Cricetulus griseus: one gene and its partner. The protein of the gene in region 1 purifies or fractionates together with the protein of each later gene. This does not show direct contact. Links are inferred from orthologs where the notes say so. Each region holds a gene or a part of one and is shown on either strand. Other genes may lie near its edges.

Region 1 (10,190 bases):
GATGGCTCAGAGGTTAAGAGCACCGACTGCTCTTCCAGAGATCCTGAGTTCAATTCCCAGCAACCACATGGTGGCTCACAACCATCCGTTATAAGATCTGGTGCCCTCTTCTGATGTGCAGATATACATGGAAGCAGAATGTTGTATACATAATAATCTTTAAAAAAAAAAAAAAAGCTATCGACTGACACCTGAGTTACTCCCAGAACTTGGTTTGTGTGTCTATGCACTTTGTGTGGGTGCACACAGGGGTCAGAAGGGTATCAGATCACCCAGAGTTATAGGTAATTGTGCCCTGCCCGCAGTGGGTGCTAGAACCAAATTCTGGTCCTCTACAAGAGCAGCAAGTGCCTTAACCACTGAACCATTTCTCCAGCTCCCTTTTTGTTGGCACGGGGCTCTTGCTATCCCTGGCTGTCAGGTACTATGTAGTTCAAGCTGGCCTTAAGCTTGTGGCAATCCTCCTTCACCTCCTGAGCGCCAGAATTGCTTCTGAGCACCAAGCCAGCGTTGAATTCCTGCCTCCTCCAAAGTGCTGGCATTACAGTGGTGTGCCAGCATGACTGGCTGTGATGTTTATTTAGAGATGTGTATTCAGTGAGTACTTCCATCTACCAAGCCTACCATGGCATCTCTGGGACTTCTACCCCCCTCTGCCCTCTAGAACTTTTCTCATTAAAATAAGAAGGGGTGACTGTCAAAGGGCGATAGAAGTGCCCAGGCAGAAGCACCCTCCTGGTCAAGGCCAGACAGAACACTAACAGGGTTATTCCTATGCCTCGAGTGCTTGAGGCAGATAGGGACTACTGGAAAAAACAGGATCTACAGAGGTAACCAAGTCTAGCTTACAGCTGCTTGTGGTTGGTACAGTAGTGACAAACAAATCTGAGACCAAGAACACTCAAGACAGATTCTGCGGGTGATGTGGAAGCTCAGCAGGACAAAAAAACTTAATGCTGAGGAACATTGGATGAGGGCTCATTCACCGCAAGTGGTTTTACTAGAAAAAGAACCTGACTAAGAACCTGTTCTGAGGGCTCACAGAACAGGACAGCTGTGGACAGGGCTGAAGCCAGGCCAGAAATGTAAAGAATGTATTACAGACTATAGATTACTGATTACTGCAGGCTCAGCAATTTGCTAAGCTTTCACAGTAGAATAGGGGTGATGGCCAGCTGGATGTAGAGGGGTTAATGGACTCATGTCAGGTGTAGCACAAGCTGTGCAAAACCGTTCTTTAGCTCCATCAGAACTTCACTTCCTGCTTGACCCTTTCACCAAGCTAGCCCAAGACAGATGCACTCTTGAATTTTCAGGAAATTTGAATATACATAAACAGGGGGGGGGGCATACTGGCTGACTGTTCTGTAAAAGGGATTTTCTAATTATAAATAACTCTAGTTCTAACAGTCCAAGGCTGTTAGTACTCATTTAGGTGAGATGCCTGCCTGGTTTGGAACCTTCCAGACTCAAGAAGCCCATTGTTGTTTTCCTCATTAAATTGCTCGAACAGGTAACACAAGCCAGCTACAAGCTGCGTGAATCTTGCCCTTTGCCTTTTTCTCACAGAAAAGCATCTGAAAACCAGTATTGGACTTTTGGTGAAATAACACACAGAGACAGGAGAAATCCAATAAGGAGTATTTTTAGTGAAACACCCCCCCCACACACACACAATGTGGTTTCCACTACAATGTATTATCTGACGACCCCCCCCCCCCCGTGGAGCTAAGGAATAAGAATTATCACCTGAGTTTGTCCTCAGCCTGTCTTACTTTTCCAATGCTCTTTGTCTCTCACAGGTTGAGCTCAGCTTTTCTGCTCCCTGTCTGGCTAAAAACTAGGACAGACCGTAAATCTTCCTAAAGCAGATCTCAAGGACACAGCATCCTCTGGCAATGCCTGTTGTGTAAGGGGCAGGCATCTCAGGTGTACCGTGGAAACAGGAGGCTATGTTAAGCATGCACTTCTCTATCCCTGCACACTTGTTGGCACTACGACTTGAAACAGGATACATTCCATGCTGTGGTCTGCCAGGACCATCGAGCTACAGGCTGTTGCTTAGAGGAAGCTGAGATAGGCCCCGAGGGACCCCAGCTAACAGGAATCACAAAAGATGGAGTCTGCAGAGTGCCTGTTAATCCGTTATGATTTATTAGCTGTACAGCAGTAGATCCTCCTCCCCAGCTTTCAACCCCATTACATATTTTATTACAGGTCTCATGTTGGCGTCCTAAAATAATGAAAAATATCACACAGTACAGCTAAGTACAAAAATGCATCAACCTAGAGTCTGATAGCTAACTGATGGCTCTCTTAAAAGCAATACACGGAAGAAAAAAAGTGTTTGAAATCAGTCAGACTGAGGCTCTTTTAAAAAAACACATATCAACATGTGACAATTCATGTGCAAGAATCACTTTTTAAGTTGGTTTGCTTCACATTATTATTAATCATTTTTCTTTCTTTTTTTTTTTTTTCCAGATCCAAAGTTTAAATTACTGACCTAGTGAAATTTTTTGGCCCAGCTTGCCAGGGCTGCTGTGACCCATTCATAATCAACTCTTCTGGCTTTAACAAAGATTTAAAAAATATAACATTCAGCTACAAACAGAGCAAAGGAAATGTTGATGGGAAATCATAAATGAGAGTTATTTGTTCAAGGTTCAAATGCTGGCTCCATGAGCTGGAAATCACAACTTTCGACATGGGTGTCCATCACTAGCAGGCAGCAGGCCCGATGCCCTTCTGCCACATGATTGTGATAGATACAACATTTACACACCACCCAGTCCCTGGTACCTTAATTTGCAAGTAATTAAAATGCTGGGTTTTCTTACACTGCGCTTCTTTTCAACCTCTTAATTAATGGAAAAGATTAAAATGTAAAAAAGGTTATTTACAAGCTTGACCATACCAGAAACTTTGCCAAGAAAGAGGCAAAGCATTCAGGACAGAAACTGATCGTAGCATGCCATCCTACTGGTGTGCAGCTGACTCCTAGCAAAGGGAGTCAGGGAAAAGCAAAAGCAAAAACCAGGTTAAAAGTCTTAAGTCTTTCCCAAGTCTGCATTTACAATTAAAAACTCTTCTTGGGAAGACCATAGAACTCTGGGAAACCCGTGGCCATTCTGGAGTGGTTTACTAAATCAAGAGAGAGGGCTCAATGTCTCTGTTTCCATCTAAGAAAACTAGTTAGGCATCAACACTGTCCTCAGCACTTCACAGTAAACCCTCAGAGACTTGGAACATTCCATGATTTGCTAACATCAAACAACAAGTTCTAGTAAATCACATTTTTCTAACATCATCCTTGAAGTTTTCGTTCTCAGTATGTTTGGTAAAATGGTGTAAAATTATGCCGTTCCCAAAGCCAAAAGAAAAGAGAAAAATTAAGATGTGGGCCGTTTAAACACAGCCCCAATAGTCCTGGTGACGAGCAAGGGCCCCGTCATCACCGGTCCATCATGCTGAGGATCATCTCAGGCGTGAGGTCTCCATTGGGGGCATCTGTGGTGGCTGCTTGAGCCTCCTCTTCGTCCCCTTCCACAGGCTCAGCATCTGGCTCTTTTTTGACTTCAACTATAATGTTCTCAATTGCACCTGTATTCTGGTCTTCAACCTGAATGATGGCTGTTGCTGGCAAAGAAGAGCAGGAACAAAACAAATAGTACATTAAAGTCCACAGAGAGTACAGGGATCCTTTCAGATACTGACAAGGTGGGGGAGGGGGGGATATATCAACATAGACAGCAAAAGTGAAAAAAGCACAAGCAAGCCTCAGCTAATGTTAAAGTGGTCACACATAAAAAAACCAATAGGCTAGAAACTGTCACACCAAATGCTGACATCCACCTTCATAGGCCTCCAAACTGCACTGTTAAGATGTTTAGTTTTCCTTTATGTTTGTTGTGAATTTAGGATTTACAGTAATATGAGGCAGGGGAAGAAAATCCAACCGCACACATGACTGGGAATACATCAGTGTATGATGCCGATGATATTTCTGACTCTATAGTGCTCCTGATCCAGTGTATATAGGTGAAAGGCAGAGCCTGGTTCTAGCTCTAAAGTTAACTTCCTTCTTTGTGATGGACATGTAAACACGGGCTCAGGAAGAATATTTAACATATTAGAGACGAAGTGAATAGAGAGTAAACTTCTGTTCTACCTGTGCCTGAAAGGGACACACCACGCCATCCCTGACACCTCAGTTCTGCTTTTCTCTTTCCCTTCCCCTCCTCATCATGTAGCCCAGGCCAGCCCCAGTCCTCCAGGTGTTGAGACTGTGGGTGACAATGACACTCACAGCTTTGTGGACCAGAATCCTCTCTAGATGGGCACTCTCAGTCCACTCATTTTATCCCATCCCTTGAAATCTGGCTCCCTTCTATCCATAACCACATCAACTTTACAGGCCACAGTGACTGGTTGTTTTCTAAACCCTCCTACATCAACAGTGTACCTGCCTCTAGGACATCAGCATCCTTCTACTTTGGAATTTTTTTTTTTTTTTTTTTTTTTCTGAGACAGGGTTTCTCTGTGTAGCCCTGGCTGTCCTGGAACTCAGAGATCCACCTGCCTCTGCCTCCCAAGTGCTAGGATTAAAGGTGTGCACCATCACCCAGCCTACTCTGGACTTTTTCTGTAGGAATATAACAGGCTTTTAGAGAAAACTTCTTTAAAAAAAATAAAAAAGCTTCCTGAGAGTCTGTTGCCAATGTGACCTTCACTTGTTTTCATGGCTTAGTTCCCATCTTCACAAGAACACAGACCAATCTGGCTTCCTCAAATGAGAGAGATGATGCCAACTGAGCCAAGGCAGGCAACTTACGCTGGTTCTGTTTGGGCTGGTTGGTTCTTCCAGGAGGTCGTCCTCTCCTCTTCTTGGCAGGTGGTGGGGCTGGGGCCACAGGCTGAGGCTGAGGCTGAGGCTGAGGCTCTGGCTCAGGTTCAATTTCTACAGCAGGCTCCTCCTCCTCCTCATTGTCATCCAGATCTGGCTCAGCGTTTTCTTCTCAAGAAATCAAGGCACAGGTGGTGGGTCAAGCAGAGTGGTGAAAGAGACAGCAGACAAATGTTCTGAAAACAGTCTATACTTCTAGCACTTGGGAGGTAGAGGCAGGCAGATTCTGAGTTCAAGGCCAGCCATGGCTACGTAAAGAAACCCTGTGTCCACTCCACCCCCCAAAACCAAAACCGAACAAAAAAGGGCTTTTACCAAAATTTTGCTATCAGCATTGATTAGGTAAACTGGTCCTGTGAAGAAGTATTCAAATTATATATTTCAACTATGCCTTACTTTGACATTTCACATGGGGTGCCCATTACTTTTCCCTTTTAGCTTTAGTGTAAGAATACTGAGGTTTTGTTTTGTTTTAAACATTTTATTTATTACATATACAGTCTTCTGCCTGCATGCCAGCAGAGGGCACTAGATCTCATTCAAGGTGGTTGTGAGCCACCATGTGGTTGCTGGGAATTGAACTCAGGACCTCTGGAAGAACAGTCAGTGCTCTTAACCGCTGAGCCATCTCTCCAGCCCAAGAATACTGAGTTTATGTCAGGTGTGGTGGCACTCAAGAGGCAAAGGAAGACAGATCTCTTGAGTTAGAGGCCAGCTTGGTCTACATAAGGAGTTCAGGGAGAGCCAGGGTTACAAGAGAAACCCTGTCGTGAAAAATTGTAAAACAAAAACACCCGCCCCCCAAAAAAACCCCAAGCTTAAAACCATAGAACCATTTTCATCTCTTATCAGTTATGTGACAAACTACAAAACGGTGCTTGAGGAAATAAAACACACATTCCTCTTATTATACAGGATAAAGCAGGAGACTGAGCTGAAGTTGAAGCAGGGGAGACGGAGATGCTCGTCTCTGACTGGACAGTATGTGTGAGTACATGCCCACCTATTTGAGAAGGAAATACAAAACTGTTGATGCAATACAAGGCTCTTTTTTTCTAGAATAATCCCAGCCTTTGAAAGCATTAAATTAAAGAGAGTGAATTACTAAAGAGAATACAGATAAGGAGTCAGATAAGGCTGTGAAGTCTCAGATCTCTTATTCGGTGTACTGACTTGACAGACAGCTCCCCTCCATTTCCTTGAGTAGTATCTATAGGACCTCAAACCATTGAACAGTGGTTTGAGGAATAAAGAATGAGACAGACACAAGTCCGTACTCAAGATTCTGAGGCAAGAGACCTGAGAGTTTGAGGCCACCCTGGGCTAGTTTATATAAATACAGCCTGTATTTATATTGTTCATCAGAACATAAAAAGTTCCTTTTATTAGGCTTCTTTATTAGGCCTTGATTATTTTAGTTAAGAGGTGTTATTTGTGTAGCCTTGGCTGTCCAGGAACTCTGTAGACCAGCCTGGACTTGAACTCACAGAGATTCCCCTGCCTCTGCCTCCCAAGTGCTGGGATTAAAGGTGTGTGCCACCAACGCCCAGCCTGGAAAATTCTTAAAAGTAACAGAAACTGCTGGTCAATCTCTGCAGATGGTTGAGAGAACTTTGCTAGCAGTAGGACATTTTCCAACATTTAGGAAGAAGGAAAAAGAAACACTACCTTAAGGCCCTGAAAGAAACGAGTAATGCAAGACAAAAGAAGAACTGCAGAACTCTACTGGGGCCATCAATAATTTCTTCAGAGACAGAACAGGAACAAAACAGTGGCAGGAAAAGGCATGGGATAGGGTCTATGACAGCAGAAAGCTCTGCAACAAGCTCATAGTTACTGTCAACACTTGTAACTTCTGGGGTTTATCTGATATCCTTAATGCCAGGGCTAGCCTGAATTTGCTGGCATTGAACCCCTGTTCTATCTTCCTGCTTCCAACTCCAGAGGAACATACCACCATGCCTGGCTTTACAAAGACTACAAGCATAAAAGAAGAGTGATCTTCTTGCCTCTATATCCTACACTTATTTTCTGGGAACTGGGTCTCCAAATGTGTCACCTCTAACCGAGTCAACAAATGATCCACTTACCACTGTCAGAGGAGTCTTCTTTTTTAGAACGCATCTTTCTTTTTCTTCCTCGTTTGCTCTTTTTAGTCTCTCCTCCATTTTCCCCTTCCACACCATCTGGACCAGCACAATTATCAGCATGTCTTGCCATTGTATTCTGACAAAAGGAACAAACCTTGTTTCACACTACTAAAAGAGCTAAGTTCAGGCTGGAACTTTAATTAAATAAAAACAAACTTTAAGGAATCCATAAAGTCCCAAAGGACTGATAACTATATTGAACATACTCCTCCTCCCCCATTGAGGGGAGATGGGACAGCATCTGGAGCAATTAAGAGAAGGGGAAAGAGACTGAGAGAGGAAGGGAGTGAAGGAAGCATCTGTCAGAAGATAAGGCTGGGCCCCTGGGGATAGGGGAAAGCTTAGTGGCTTAGTGCTTATAGTCATTGGTGGGGGAAGGGGCATTGTCAGTCAGCTGGCCAGTCCTTACTTGGCTAAACAACACAGAAAGGAGACTCAAACTAGCTAGGGATAAAATGGAATGCAGATTTCAATCTACCCAAGGAAATGCCTTTTAATCACTAGCCTACTCAAATATATTGCAGTCCCTACCAATAGAAGGCAGAAGAGCTTGGGATAGGGATGAATAACTCTTTCCAAATGGCAAAGCATCTCTACATTTATAACTATAGTGGCAAAAACAGCATTCTGGAATGGCAGATCAAGAACGTGTTATTAAGAACCACAATGGGAAAACTGATCCTTACCCGGCGAGTGAATGTTTTCCCACACTTGGAACAGACAAAGGCTGCAGGGACAAAGTTGGGGTCGTGATAACGCTTGAAGTGCATGTCAAGGAGCTGTTTCTGGCGGAAGGTCTTGTCGCAGTGACTGCAGGCATAAGGCTTCTCGCCCGTGTGAGTGCGCTTGTGCATGATCATGTGCCTCTCCTGAAAACAGAACTGCTTGTCAGAAAGGCCTCAGATGGTCACAGAGCTGCTACTCCAGCTGCCATAGGCCTTTCATCTTCAAGGAGTTAACACCATTTGTCATAATGGTGACAGCCTATTCACAGGGATGCAGAACTGCTGCCCTAAATGCTGCTCACCTGTTTGGCTGCTTTTCTAACTTCCCTTGAAGAGACATTACAGGGCTAGATTTCTTTTCCTTCTCAAGTCTTAGACTTAATATCCATGGAGATATTTGGTTTGTTTTTTCCCCAGACATGGTCTCATGTAGTCCAGGCTGGATTCTAATTCACAATGTAGTGAAGAATAACTTTAATTGTCTCCTGACTCTCCCAAGTGCTGAGATTATAGATGAGTGCCACCACACCCAGCAAAAAGCACCTACATAAAAGTTTTAAACATTTTACAATATTGGGGATATTACTAGCAACTTAGCCACATATCCCCTTTTCAAGAAAGAAGCTGATGGTGTGCCTTAAGATATCAACTGTGATGCAAAGTGCATTAAATGGAGACACAGATCCAACTAAGTGACAAAGAATAGCATCTCTGATTTTGGTAGTATTCCTTATACTCATCTGCAGGAAGGGCTTTAATCCCAGCACTCAGGAGGCAGAGGCAGGTAGATTTCTGTAAACTCGAGGCCAGCTTGGTCTACAAAGCAAGTTCCAGGACACAGAGAAAGCCTGTCTTGAAAAAAACAAACAAACAAACAAATAAAAACAAAACAATGCCCCCACCCTCCAGAAACAACACACACACACACACACACACACACACACACACACACACACACACACACACACACACACACACACACACACCAAACAACCAACCAACTAACTACAACAAAACTAGATAGGCTAAGCCTTTTGATAGTACCTTACATGGACAGAATACCAATGCTTTCTAAGATAGCACCTACCTGTCTACAAGCATAATCACACTGGTCACACTTGAAGCGCTTCTCGTTTTTATGTGATTTTTGATGCTGGATGAGAGCATAGCGCTCATGAAACACAGCATCACAGTAGCGACATTTTTTGCCCTGCTCAATATAGGAATGCTGCTTTCGCAAGTGGACACCTGTAAATAAAATATAAAGCCAATTTGAACTTGTACAAACACAAATTAATATTTCAAAAACTTGCTCCACAGCCTAAGAACATGAGATCAGAAGTAAAACACTTGCATAGCAGGTGTGAGACCCTGGGCTCAGTCCCTACCTCCCTTCCCTATCTCTAATCCACCAATAACAACAGGTGGAGAGACCAGTGGGTGGAAGATGGAAACCTGAACAAAGAGGACGATATTAGACATGGAGGCCAGGAAGGGAGATCAATAGGAATTAACTGACAAAGAGAAAAGTGGATGCTGCAGATGACACCAAATGGCACAGCCATTTACAGAGATGAGAATGGTGGAAAGAGGGAAAGCTGTGTTTATTCTGGCAGGGGAGTATAAGTCATTTTAGAACTACACTGAATTTGAAACAATGACATTAACACACAGAAAGAGAACTCAAGATGATCCTATGTGTAAGCATGGTTACATTCCTACAGATGAATTCTCCCTCTGTGTAATTCTGGCTTATCTATATACAAGAATAGTTACCACCAAACCAGTAAAGTACTCCCATTACTGAGAGAATGTATAAATACTCTTAAAAACCAGAAGGAAACTGACCTTAATCTGAAACATATGTTACTTTCTGAACATTTAGGGGATGAAAGCTACTATTACGGGTATACTGGTTCCCATTTAACTTATGTGTAATCTATATTCAGGATATATTATCTTGTAGTGAGACTCCAATAGAGAGAAGATATTGGGGGGAGGGAGCTAAGCAATGATTTCATTAATTAGTAAACTGTTCACAGACACAAAAGTTTGAGTTTAAGGTGAAGTCTTTATACTTTTATTTTCATTAGTTCTTTATTTGCCTCTAGTAAATCTACTTACCCAAATCACTTTTTCGGGCTATGACAGTGTCACAGTGGGGACAATGAAATTTGGCCACATTTTCTGTGTGCTTCTGTAAAATGTGCATCTTCATGGTACCACTCTGGGTAAACCGAGCATGACAAATATAACATTCATATGGTTTTTCCCCTTAAAAGGAAATACAGAATGAACACATTAAATGAATAAATATTACGGCTTAGGTGGTGAGTAGCTGAGTGGCAGACATATATGTTAGGCCACACAGAATCTAAGGCCTTACTTAAGGTAAGGAAGGTGTAACTG
Region 2 (10,388 bases), on another chromosome or scaffold:
AGCAACCACATGGTGGCTCACAACCACCTGTAATGAGATCTGGTGCCTTCAGGCCTGCAGGCATACACGCAGACAGAACCTGTATACATAATAAATAAATCTTAAAAAAAATATACCTAGGCACTAGTCTTTAATCTCACCTTTAACCCCAGTACTTAGCAAGAGGCAGAAGCAGGCAGATCTCTGTGAGTTTGAGGCCAGCCTGCTCTACAAAGCCAGTTCCAGGACAGGCTCCAAAGCTACACAGAGAAACCTTGTCTTGAAAAAACCAAACCAAATCAATCAATCAAACAAACAAACAAACAAACAAACAAACAAACAAAAAAACCAAAACGCCTTCTCTTTCCCCAACACTTCCCACAGCTTCATATGATGTTGTTATCTAATCCCATTTTCTTAGTCACTGTGAATAACAACTCAACAAACATAGGCACACAGGTATCTGTATTGTATGCTGATTCAAACATATACCCGAAAGGGATGCAACCAAATCACTGTAAATTCAATTTTGAGGAACCTTCAGATTTCTTTAGTGTTTCTACTAATTCATGTTCCCACAAAATATATGTACATGTTCATTTTGCCAACATCTAAACCTGTAGTAAGTTTTCTTTTCTACAGTAGATATTCTAACTGGGGTTAAGAGGCCCCCATTGTGATTAGATTTGTATACCCTCAATGAATAATGATATTGAGCATTTTCATATATTTATGATTAATATTTTTCTTTTGAGAAATATCTATTTCTCATTTTGACTAACTTATCATTATTAAGGTCTTTAGTTATATTTTAGAGATTTGTTGTTTGTCTGAGGAATAGCTGGCAAGCATTTTCTTTCATTCTGTGATGTGTTTCTCCGCTCTGGTAATTGTGTGGCCTTTGCTGTGCAGAAAATATTTATTTTGCTGTCAGTTCTGTACAAGTCCATTTTTGAGATTATTATCATATTAAGCTGTGTTAGGGTATTCATAAGGATATGTGTACAAAGATACTAAGGTACAATTTGACTATATTCTTTTTTGGGGGGGCAGGTTTTGAGGCAGGGTTTCTCTGTGACTTTGGAGGCTGTCTTGGAACTAGCTCTTGTAGACCAGGCTGGTCTTGAACTCACAGAGGTCTGCCTGCCTCTGCCTCCTGAGTGCTGGGATTATTTTTATTTTACTATTATTATTTTTGTTTTTTGAGACATTATATTATATATGTTTCAATTTGCATAGGCCTATATAATTGCAATGAAAAAGACAATAAACATTCTTTTATGGCTACCTTAAAAACACAGGTTTTGCTTATTTTTTTGAGACAAGGTTTCTCTGTGTAGCCCTGGCTGTCCTGGAACTCTGTAGGCCAGGTGGCCCAAAACTCAAGAGATCTACTTGCCTCTGCCTCCCAAGTGCTGGGATTAAAAGCATGCACCACCATTTTAAGGCTGGCTTAAAAATACATTTTTAACAAATGTAACACAAAACATAAAAGACCCAGAGACTGATATTGGGGTTCAAACTTCAAGCTGAAAAACAGAAAAGCAAAGTAGTGGGCCACTACCTCAGGCTGAATGGGCTGATCCTGCTGCCTCTCCTCAGCATGGCTTGAGAATCCTCAATATGGATGGAGAATGAATGCTCCTATTTTCAGTGTGACTGGAGAATGAATGTTTAATACTGAGACCTTGATCCTGTGTTTTATATACCTCACTAATGTTGGGATTAAAGGCGTGTGATCCCAGGTGCTGAGATCATCTTTGTGTGAGCTGTTTATCTTGTGTAGATCTGGGTGGCCTTGGACTCACAGAGATCTGTCTACCTCTTAATCCTAAAATTAAAGGTGTGTACCACCACCTCCTAGTTTCTGGCTGCTGGGAATAAAGGTGTGTGCCTGGCTTCTGTGGCTCATGGCTAACTTTGCTTTCTGAATCCTCAGGCATGCGTTAATAAATCATAAATATTACTACAAATAAACACTTAAAAAAACAAAACAAATCCATGATTCTGATACAGTGTAGGGGTCTTGATTAGGTTTATTTTCTCTGACAGTTAAAGAATTAAAGGCAGGAAAAATCTGAAGTACAACATGTAGCAGCAGAGAACTCTGCAGACAGGATCAGGAAGGTGTTTATTGGTGGTGAGGAAGCCTATGTATGCAGAGACACACAGAGAAAAGACCCTCTGTGAAGCTGGAAAATCCAGCCCCCTGTCCAGGGCTGGGATTTTAAGTCTCTGAAGAGTTTTCCTCCCCTAATTTATGGTTTGTCAGTTTGAAGAAAGTTAGGGCATTTGATTGTTCCAGAACTGTTGTGTGATGTCCTGAGCAGGCCTTGAACTTGTTGAGCCTGTCTGTCAGGAGGAGGCCTGCTGGTGGGAGACAATAGCCTACAAGGCCTTTTGTCTCAAGGTAGGTGGTTAAGGAAAAAGCTGGCCATCTTGGAGATGGCTTTATTATCTCGCCTTAGCCCCTCTCCCTATCGGTCTGCCCAACAGGGAGTCTGTGTAACTCCTAATCCTTCAATCCCATGAGTTTATATTTAGACAAGGTGCCTGAAATGTTGCAACAAGTGTGTTTTCATTAGTGATAGCTCCCAAATAGTTTAGTGTCTGCATTAGATGTGTTTCTTTTGTTTGTTTTTGGAGACAGGGTTTCTCTGTGTAGCTCTGGTTGTCCTAGAACCCGCTCTGTAGACCAGTCTGGCCTTGAACATTTGAGATCTCCCTGCTTCTGCCTCCTGAGTACTGGGATTAAAGGCTTTTCTCTCTCCCCAACCCCCTGCATGTGCTGTGTTTAAATGATCCAGAATCTAGGAAACAATGAAGTAGTTTTTTGACCCGCCCTGGCTCTAAGAACATTCTCCCTCCTAGACTAGAAGCCTTCGAATTTTGAATGGCCAGACTGCTCACTTGTGGTTTTCCCTTTTCCCGTTTATCTCAGTTGCTTACATAGACAGTACTTCCAAGTTTCAGGATTTACTCTAGTAGTTGTAAAGTGGAAATTCACTGGGCCCCATTCACATCTTGAGGCTGATTTTTTCCCCCCCAAATTTAGGATTTGGTTAATAATCTGCTCATACGTTTTATACTCAACTGGTCTTCCCAATTGGACCATCTCTGGAGTAAAGAGTCTGGGGGCATGAATACCATTACTCACATTCCTCCCAGTAACCTTTTCATTTGCTAGCTATGTTGAGATAAAAAGATTAGGGCTGCTCTCAGTACGCACCCAATGTTGAGGGATGTTTGTCGGGACGCAGTTTAAAATGCTATTTCCCAGCCAAAGATTCTAATCAAGGCTCCTGTATTTCTTAGAAGTCATATGCCTTCATTTGGAATGATAAGGATGACCTGCGTGTTCTCAATTCTGCACACACCTCTAAACTTTTAGAAAGGTGCTCTTTGGCCCTCGAATGACGTAAAGCTGAGAACTTAAGACTTTGGAGATGCTGCCTCAGAAAAGAGGTATAAAAAGTATGGCTGATGCCGGGCGGTGGTGACGAATGCCTTTAATCGCAACACTCGGGAGGCAGAGACAGGCGGATCCCTGGGAGTTTGAACCCAGCCTGTGAGTTCCAGGACAACCAGGGCTGTTACAGAGAAACCCTGTGTGGAAAAACCACAAAAAAAAAAAAAAAAAAAAAAAAAAAGGCTGACAAAGTGGCAAGCAGAGAATCATTCTACTAATGATCCGTCTGTCCTGCCTTTGGCTCCTGAAGCTCTATGGGAAAAGGATAAAATAAGACCAAGCCTTCGAGGAGGTCAAATCCTGAGATTATGCCTGTTGCAGGTCTACCGAGAACCGGAGGGCGAAGAACAGCGAAGGGAGTCGCCCGCTGGTTCCCGGCCGGCAGTCGCCATCTTTTAGGGTGGGCTGCGCAGCCTCTCCGCGCAGGGCCCGCGTGGAGAAGCCGAAACGTGGTAGCTTCGGAGGGCTGGAGCGCGTTACAAAGGGAAAGTGCGCCTGCGCTCGGGCAACCGCGCTGGAGGGGCGGGGCCAGAGGGAGGACGCGCGTGCGTAGTGCGAGCCCGCCAAGCACCTGGAAGAGGTGGGGAGGGGAGGTAGAGAGGCGTGGGATAGGACAGCGCTTGCGCAAGAGCGAGACAGTGCGGGAAGTGGGGGATCCGGAGCACGCTCGCGGAGGCGGGACTAGGGCAGATCTCGCGAGATTTGCTGCGGCCATATATACGTGCGGCGAGCCCGCGTCCTTTCCCTGGCGTGATTCCGTCCTGCTTGTCTGTTCTGAGGAGCAGTAGGCAGTTTCCTCCGTCCGATATCTCGCATACCGAAGTGCGCGTCTCCACCTCATGGAAGACTCGATGGACATGGACATGAGCCCTCTTAGGCCACAGAACTACCTTTTCGGTAACTGCCTGGCGGGGAGGGCCTGGGCAGGGCCTGGTGGTTGGGGGGGCGGCGGGAGTCCAGTTGAGGCCTGGCGTGTGCCAAGCGCGGCGTGGGTGGAGGCCTTTGCACGGCTGGGAGGAACCGCCTGGGCCGCGGGAGCCGAAGAAAGCCGAGGCCCGGGCGCTGAGCGGGACCGTAGCTTGGGGCGGCAGCGGCCCAGCCTCGAGCCTCTGGCGTTGAGAGGGCGGTCGGCCGAGGGTGCCAACTTGGCTTGGGGCGCGAGCAGGGGCTGTGACGACACTTTCTCTTCATACGTGAAGAAGGCCTCAGGACCTGGCAACAGGCAGCTGAAATTCAGCGCTGGGCCCCAGGCGCGTCCCGGGATAATGGTGCCTCTGGAGCGCGGCCTGCGCCGCCTCGTTGGGACGGTATAAGTGCAGTCCGCTGGGCTTTACAGGGGCTTCGGCCCCTCCTCCCCGTGCATCCGAGAGGTTCCGCCGCTGACAGGGACTCGGCCGGCCAAGCTCCCTGCGGCTGAGGGGGCCGCAACCCCTGGGAACACGTGGTTGCCACGTGGTTGGGGGTAGGGAGGGGGTGTGGGCTCTACATCCGGGCTCTCCTCACTTCTTAACCCTGGTCCTTCGGGTCCTGTGGTTTAATTAGGAGTGCTAGGCGGGAAACGCGTAAAGTGGCGCGTGGCGTCCGTGTCTTTGTTAAGATCTTGTAGCATCCACGGTGATGGTAGTGACTTTTTTTTAGAGACCCTTTAGTGCCTCTGCAAGAGGTGGAGTCAGCCCCACGCTGCCGATGACGATATTGATGGTCGAAGGGTCTTGATGTTAAGAGAGGGCCACGAAATCTTAAGTCGAAACTATCCTTTTCCCTACAACTGGTCTTTTTTTTTTGATTGGGCCGGGGAAGAGAGAGAAGTGCCTCCCGCGTTTAGCAGATTAAGGGATCACTTTGGTAACTCGGCTTCTGGGGACCCCACTGTCACTGCACATTCAGCTTATCGGTTTTACAGTCTATTAGTTTGGTTTTCAGTGACTCGAGTCAATTTTTTCAAAATTCCGAGTGTTTAAAGCACTTTCCCCTACGTGAATGAGTAGTACATGTTTAATGTACTCTAAGCATGAAGGGTTTAAGCTGTCCCTACTGGTCATGTGTAACCACTGTTGATTTGTAGTAATTTCCTTTAGAACGTAGGTAAGTTGGGTTTTTTAAAAATAGTGCTAGATAATGGTATGGTGCCACTATGCAAAAATCCAGTTTTAGGTCATTGGGTTTTCTGTGAAAAAATGGTAACGGTGCCTCATTAATTGGTCGTGAGTTACTATGAAAAAGTAGAACTTTTATTGGCTTTCTTATACAGTAGATTCCACGGAGAGAACATTTTTAAGTTAAAAGAGTAGAAGTTAATGGTCGTTTGGGACTGTGATGTTCATCTTGCTAGATTTATTTTATTTTTTCTTTACAGGTTGTGAACTAAAAGCTGACAAAGATTATCACTTTAAGGTGGATAATGATGAGAATGAACACCAGTTGTCACTAAGAACGGTACTTAAACTTTGAAATTAATTAGCCATTAGATTTCAGCCACTTGGATCTAAGTGAGGGGATTTATGTCAGTTTGTGCTTCCTTAACTGATGGAAAAATAGTATTTTTATAACTTTAAAATAGTTCACATATGTACTGGTAACAAAGAACTGGGTGTCTTTTCCACAGTCACTGTTATAATTAGTTGTCTAGTAAGGCTCTGCAGGATGTGATCTTTTTAAGTCTGTTGGCTATATTTTATTGGTTGTTTGGCTTTCTTAGGAACATACAGTGTTTTGTGTCTATGCATCTCGTAATTATATGAGAGGACTAGTTATCAGTAGTGAGAAGAGGCTAATTAAAAAATTTAAGGGGTGTTTATAAAACAACTGGGTACTGAAGGATCTTTCTTTTTGTTCACAGGTTAGTTTAGGGGCAGGGGCAAAAGATGAATTACACATCGTAGAGGCAGAAGCAATGAACTATGAAGGCAGTCCAATTAAAGTAACGCTGGCAACATTGAAAATGTCCGTACAACCAACAGTAAGTACATTTGTAAACATTGTTTTTAAAGTTGGTCTCTAAGACTGATTTAGGATAAGCAAAGATGTTTCAAATAAGTTATATCTAGTGTGAGATTATCTCTGTGGCTTCTAGATAGGTTTATTGATTATATAACTCTGTTGGTGATGCTTGGTGCAAAACATTCTTAAAACAATGTTTAATGATTGAAATTTGCTCATTTTTAGGTTTCCCTTGGTGGCTTTGAAATTACACCACCTGTGGTGTTACGGTTGAGGTGTGGTTCAGGGCCTGTGCACATTAGTGGACAGCATCTAGTAGGTATGTTTTTGGGTTTTTAAATCTGGTATTTCTATTAGGAACTGGCTTTTTTTAATATTTGTGTTTTGGCCAGGTTAGAGAAGACGTCTGTTGCCACTACTTGGGTCCTTGGGATTGAATACTGAGGTTTAGCCACAAAGATCTTGTAATTAGATTGGCTATCATCCTAGATCTCCAATATGGACTTTGTAAAAGTTCTTAGTTGTCTTATGCTGAAATAGGAATCTGGTAATGTATAAAAAGATAACACCTGAGTATCTTATTTCAGCTGTAGAGGAAGATGCAGAGTCAGAGGATGAAGATGAGGAGGATGTGAAACTCTTAAGTATGTCTGGCAAGCGATCTGCTCCTGGAGGTGGTAGCAAAGTTCCACAGGTAATTTTTTTTTTTAGGAAATGTTTTTGGTTTCAATATGTTAAATACTAAGGAATGACTCTTTCTCACAAATACATTTTTCTTTTAAGAAAAAAGTAAAAATCGATGAAGATGAGGATGATGATGATGAAGATGATGAAGACGATGAAGAGTAAGTATAAGTTTGTATGGTCTTAGAAACTTGACACACTGCACTGTGAAGGGTTTTAGGAAAATTGATTTGCCCCAATAGTTTCTAAAAGTGACAAAAAGGATTGATGGTTGAAAGTGAAGACACTTGTGCCTGTTAGGTTGTGATTCTTTCAGTGGGACATTGATTTTTTTTTTTGAGTTTAAAATAGGTTAAAATAAGATTTCATGTGTTGTGCCTGTAACAGATGTGAAATGTCTTGACATGAGTTATCTTTGAATATCTTGTTAGAAGTTGTGGAATTGGTCATGTTTTATTTATTGAAAGCATTATGTATGAAGTAAGAACTGTTGAGGAAAGCAAATTTGGGAGTGGGTATTAATATATAGATTAACTAGCAAACTGAATAATGCATGAAAAATGATACATCTATGGTTCCTTTTAGGTAATGTTACACATTACCTAAATACCTTGTATGATAATATCCGGTTATGGATATCTGAAAAGATAACTCATTTTATATATAAATTGGAAGTTTCTGGTTAAGAGAAAGCCTCTTGGGTTCTAAAGCCAGTTTTTGTTTTTTGTTTTATTTTTCTTCGTTTGGCTTTTGCCATAGCAGTTTTATTAATTTTGCTTCTATTGATACAATCACATATTTTATATGTAAGACTGAGGAACATTTTGTCACATAACTGCTTCCTAACTTGTCATAATTTCAGCCTTCCCCTCCTTTATATGGGGGTTTTTATTTTTGATCATGGTACAATTGATCAGATGTATGGTGTGCCTCTTTATTGTAAGTTAATATTTTATTTTATTAGTTCAAATTAGGAACAAGCTTCACATGTCAATCCCTTCTCCCTCTCCTCCCCAACATCCCACCTGCCCCTAGCCATCCCCTCTCCACTCCCCAGGCAGGGTAAGGTCCTCAAAAGGGGCTCCCCATAGTCTACCACATCCTGGGCCAGGCCTAGGCCCTTCCCCCTGTGTCCAGGCCAAGAGAGCATCCCTTCACATGGGATGGGCTCTCAATCCCTTTTTTTTTTTAAGACCTTACATATTTAATACAGTGCGTTACCTCTGTACAAATGGAAAAAAAGTTAAACATTTCTAGACCAATATGGCTGCTAATTTTGTACAATGCCAACTCAGCGCAGTAAACTGGGATACTTTTCCAAAGTTGACAGCACAGCTAAAGTTCCCCAAAATTCAAATTATATATGTATATATATTTATATTTATATAAAAAGACCAATAATGGCAGTATGTTAAAAGCCAGCATTAAAAACTACCAAAAGCGCTGGGCGTTGGGGGCGACCCTTTAATCCCAGCACTCAGGAGGCAAAGGCAGGCGGATCTCTGTGAGTTCGAGGCCAGCCTGGTCTCCAGAGCGAGTGCCAGGATAGGCTCCAAAGCTACACAGAGAAACCCTGTCTTGAAACCCCCCCCCAAAAAAAAACTACCAAAGCATTGGATTTACATGTGGCTTTTGACATCATGGTATAATAATGAGATGATTTCCCACACTACTGAAAAGGTCATTAATATGTGAAGTTCGTGCTTTTCAATTTAATGAGACTAGTGTGGAAATCTGTGGCCAATGTTGGTAGAACTTATAGATTGAATGCAGATATAGTTAAAACTTTGAATTTATGTTTTAGAATTTATTATGCAGTGTTCTGCCTGCAGGCCAGAAGGGGGCACCAGATATCAAGAGAAGGCTTTGGGCCATCATGTGGTTGCTTGGAAGGACCTCTGGAAGAGTAGCCAGTGCTCTTAACCGCTGAGCCATCTCTCCAGCCCCAACTTATACATGTGTACTCAAATATATATACTTAAAGATACTTTAAGTGATTTTACCCTGTAATGTGATTCACTCCCTTTTAAAAGACTTACTGTGTCTGAAGACCATTTTGTACTTACACACTTTAAGCAAATGTCATGTGGATCCAGATCATCTCAGATCTATCTAGATTGTGAAAGTGAGAAGCAGCTCCTTTTTTGAGGTAATAACACTCAAGTAGTTGGAGGTGGATTCTGCTAATTGCAATCTGGCAGCTTAATTCTCATGGCACATAATAAATGTTTAGGGAGAGCCAATAAAGTAAGCCTTGCCAAACACTGCATACACTAGAATGAAAAAAGCAGAAGAGCTTTGATTGTCTCAAGGAAAGGAGAAGCATTAAGACAACAGCTATAGATTCAGAACAGATTAAAAATTTTACTGCAGGTTTGTATTCTGTGCATTTCCTCCCAACAGGCCTTGGCTGTCTTGGGTCTCATTCTGTAGACCATGCCACCATGAACTCAAGAGGCCTCTGCCTCCCAAGGGCTGGGATTAAAAGTGTGCACCTCCCTAGCCAAACTCTTATCTAGTATTCCTTAAGCTGTAGTTAGCTACTTGTGAATTTTGTAGATTGGCCTTTTCAAGGAATTAAGTCATAGAATCCTATTCATTTGTGTGTGACTTAACTGATTTTTGACAGTGATTACATTTTTATGGGCTGAGAATTTCTTGTGGATATGCTGTTGCTGTGGTCATTGTCAGCAGTATATGGAAGTTCTTCAAGTTACCTCTTTAAAGGGTAACATGGGCAAAGCGGTATCATGTTCAGTTTATATTCCCTAGAGGACTAAAATCTTCTCATGTTAAGCTTTTTGGTGGTTGTGAGACAGGATTTCTCAGACTATTGAGGAGGCTGTCCTGGATATCCTGGAACTAGGTCTTGTAGACGAACGAACTCAGATCCACCTGCTTCTACCTCCCAAGTGCTGGGATTAAAGGAGTGTGCTACCACTGCCTTGCTTGTACAATTAACATCTTTGCTCTTATTAAGGGGGTAGCTTAATTTTAAGGAAGCCTGGGTTTTTTTTTTTTGATGCAAAACTTAGGAACTAACTCATCAAATCTGTTAATGAAAATTTGCTTCCAAGTTTTGTAGCTTATTCCTGAGACCAAGTGTGAGACTCTTGGGTTTTTACTTGTGAATATAATTATTTTCTACCTTAGGTTCCTTGAACAACTGAATCCTAATTATCAATAACTACAAATTGTATGTTGGAGTATTGCCGATTTAGCATTATTAACTCCTGATTTATTGAGATACTATTTCCAAAAAACTACATTTCATAACCCTTAGTAACAATAGTATTATGAGTAAGACACTATCCCT

What was found. Proteins that work in one complex are often made in the same cells at the same time.
Region 2: the proteins of Ctcf (region 1) and nucleophosmin purify together in Homo sapiens (affinity purification with mass spectrometry; 6 studies listed by BioGRID and IntAct, with this or other methods). This does not show direct contact. The link is inferred for Cricetulus griseus from reciprocal best matches to the Homo sapiens genes CTCF and NPM1.

What each region holds. Positions count from the first base shown.
Region 1 is NC_048596.1:181,956,354-181,966,543, reverse strand, and holds the end of Ctcf (transcriptional repressor CTCF), read right to left. Parts: intron 10,056-10,190; coding exon 9,906-10,055; intron 9,030-9,905; coding exon 8,869-9,029; intron 7,926-8,868; coding exon 7,743-7,925; intron 7,133-7,742; coding exon 6,997-7,132; intron 5,018-6,996; coding exon 4,835-5,017; intron 3,640-4,834; coding exon 3,455-3,639; 3' UTR 2,132-3,454; downstream 1-2,131.
Region 2 is NC_048600.1:48,343,048-48,353,435, reverse strand, and holds the start of nucleophosmin, read left to right. Parts: upstream 1-4,171; 5' UTR 4,172-4,287; coding exon 4,288-4,345; intron 4,346-5,804; coding exon 5,805-5,884; intron 5,885-6,287; coding exon 6,288-6,407; intron 6,408-6,613; coding exon 6,614-6,707; intron 6,708-6,975; coding exon 6,976-7,082; intron 7,083-7,171; coding exon 7,172-7,233; intron 7,234-10,388. UniProt on the Homo sapiens protein: Involved in diverse cellular processes such as ribosome biogenesis, centrosome duplication, protein chaperoning, histone assembly, cell proliferation, and regulation of tumor suppressors p53/TP53 and ARF.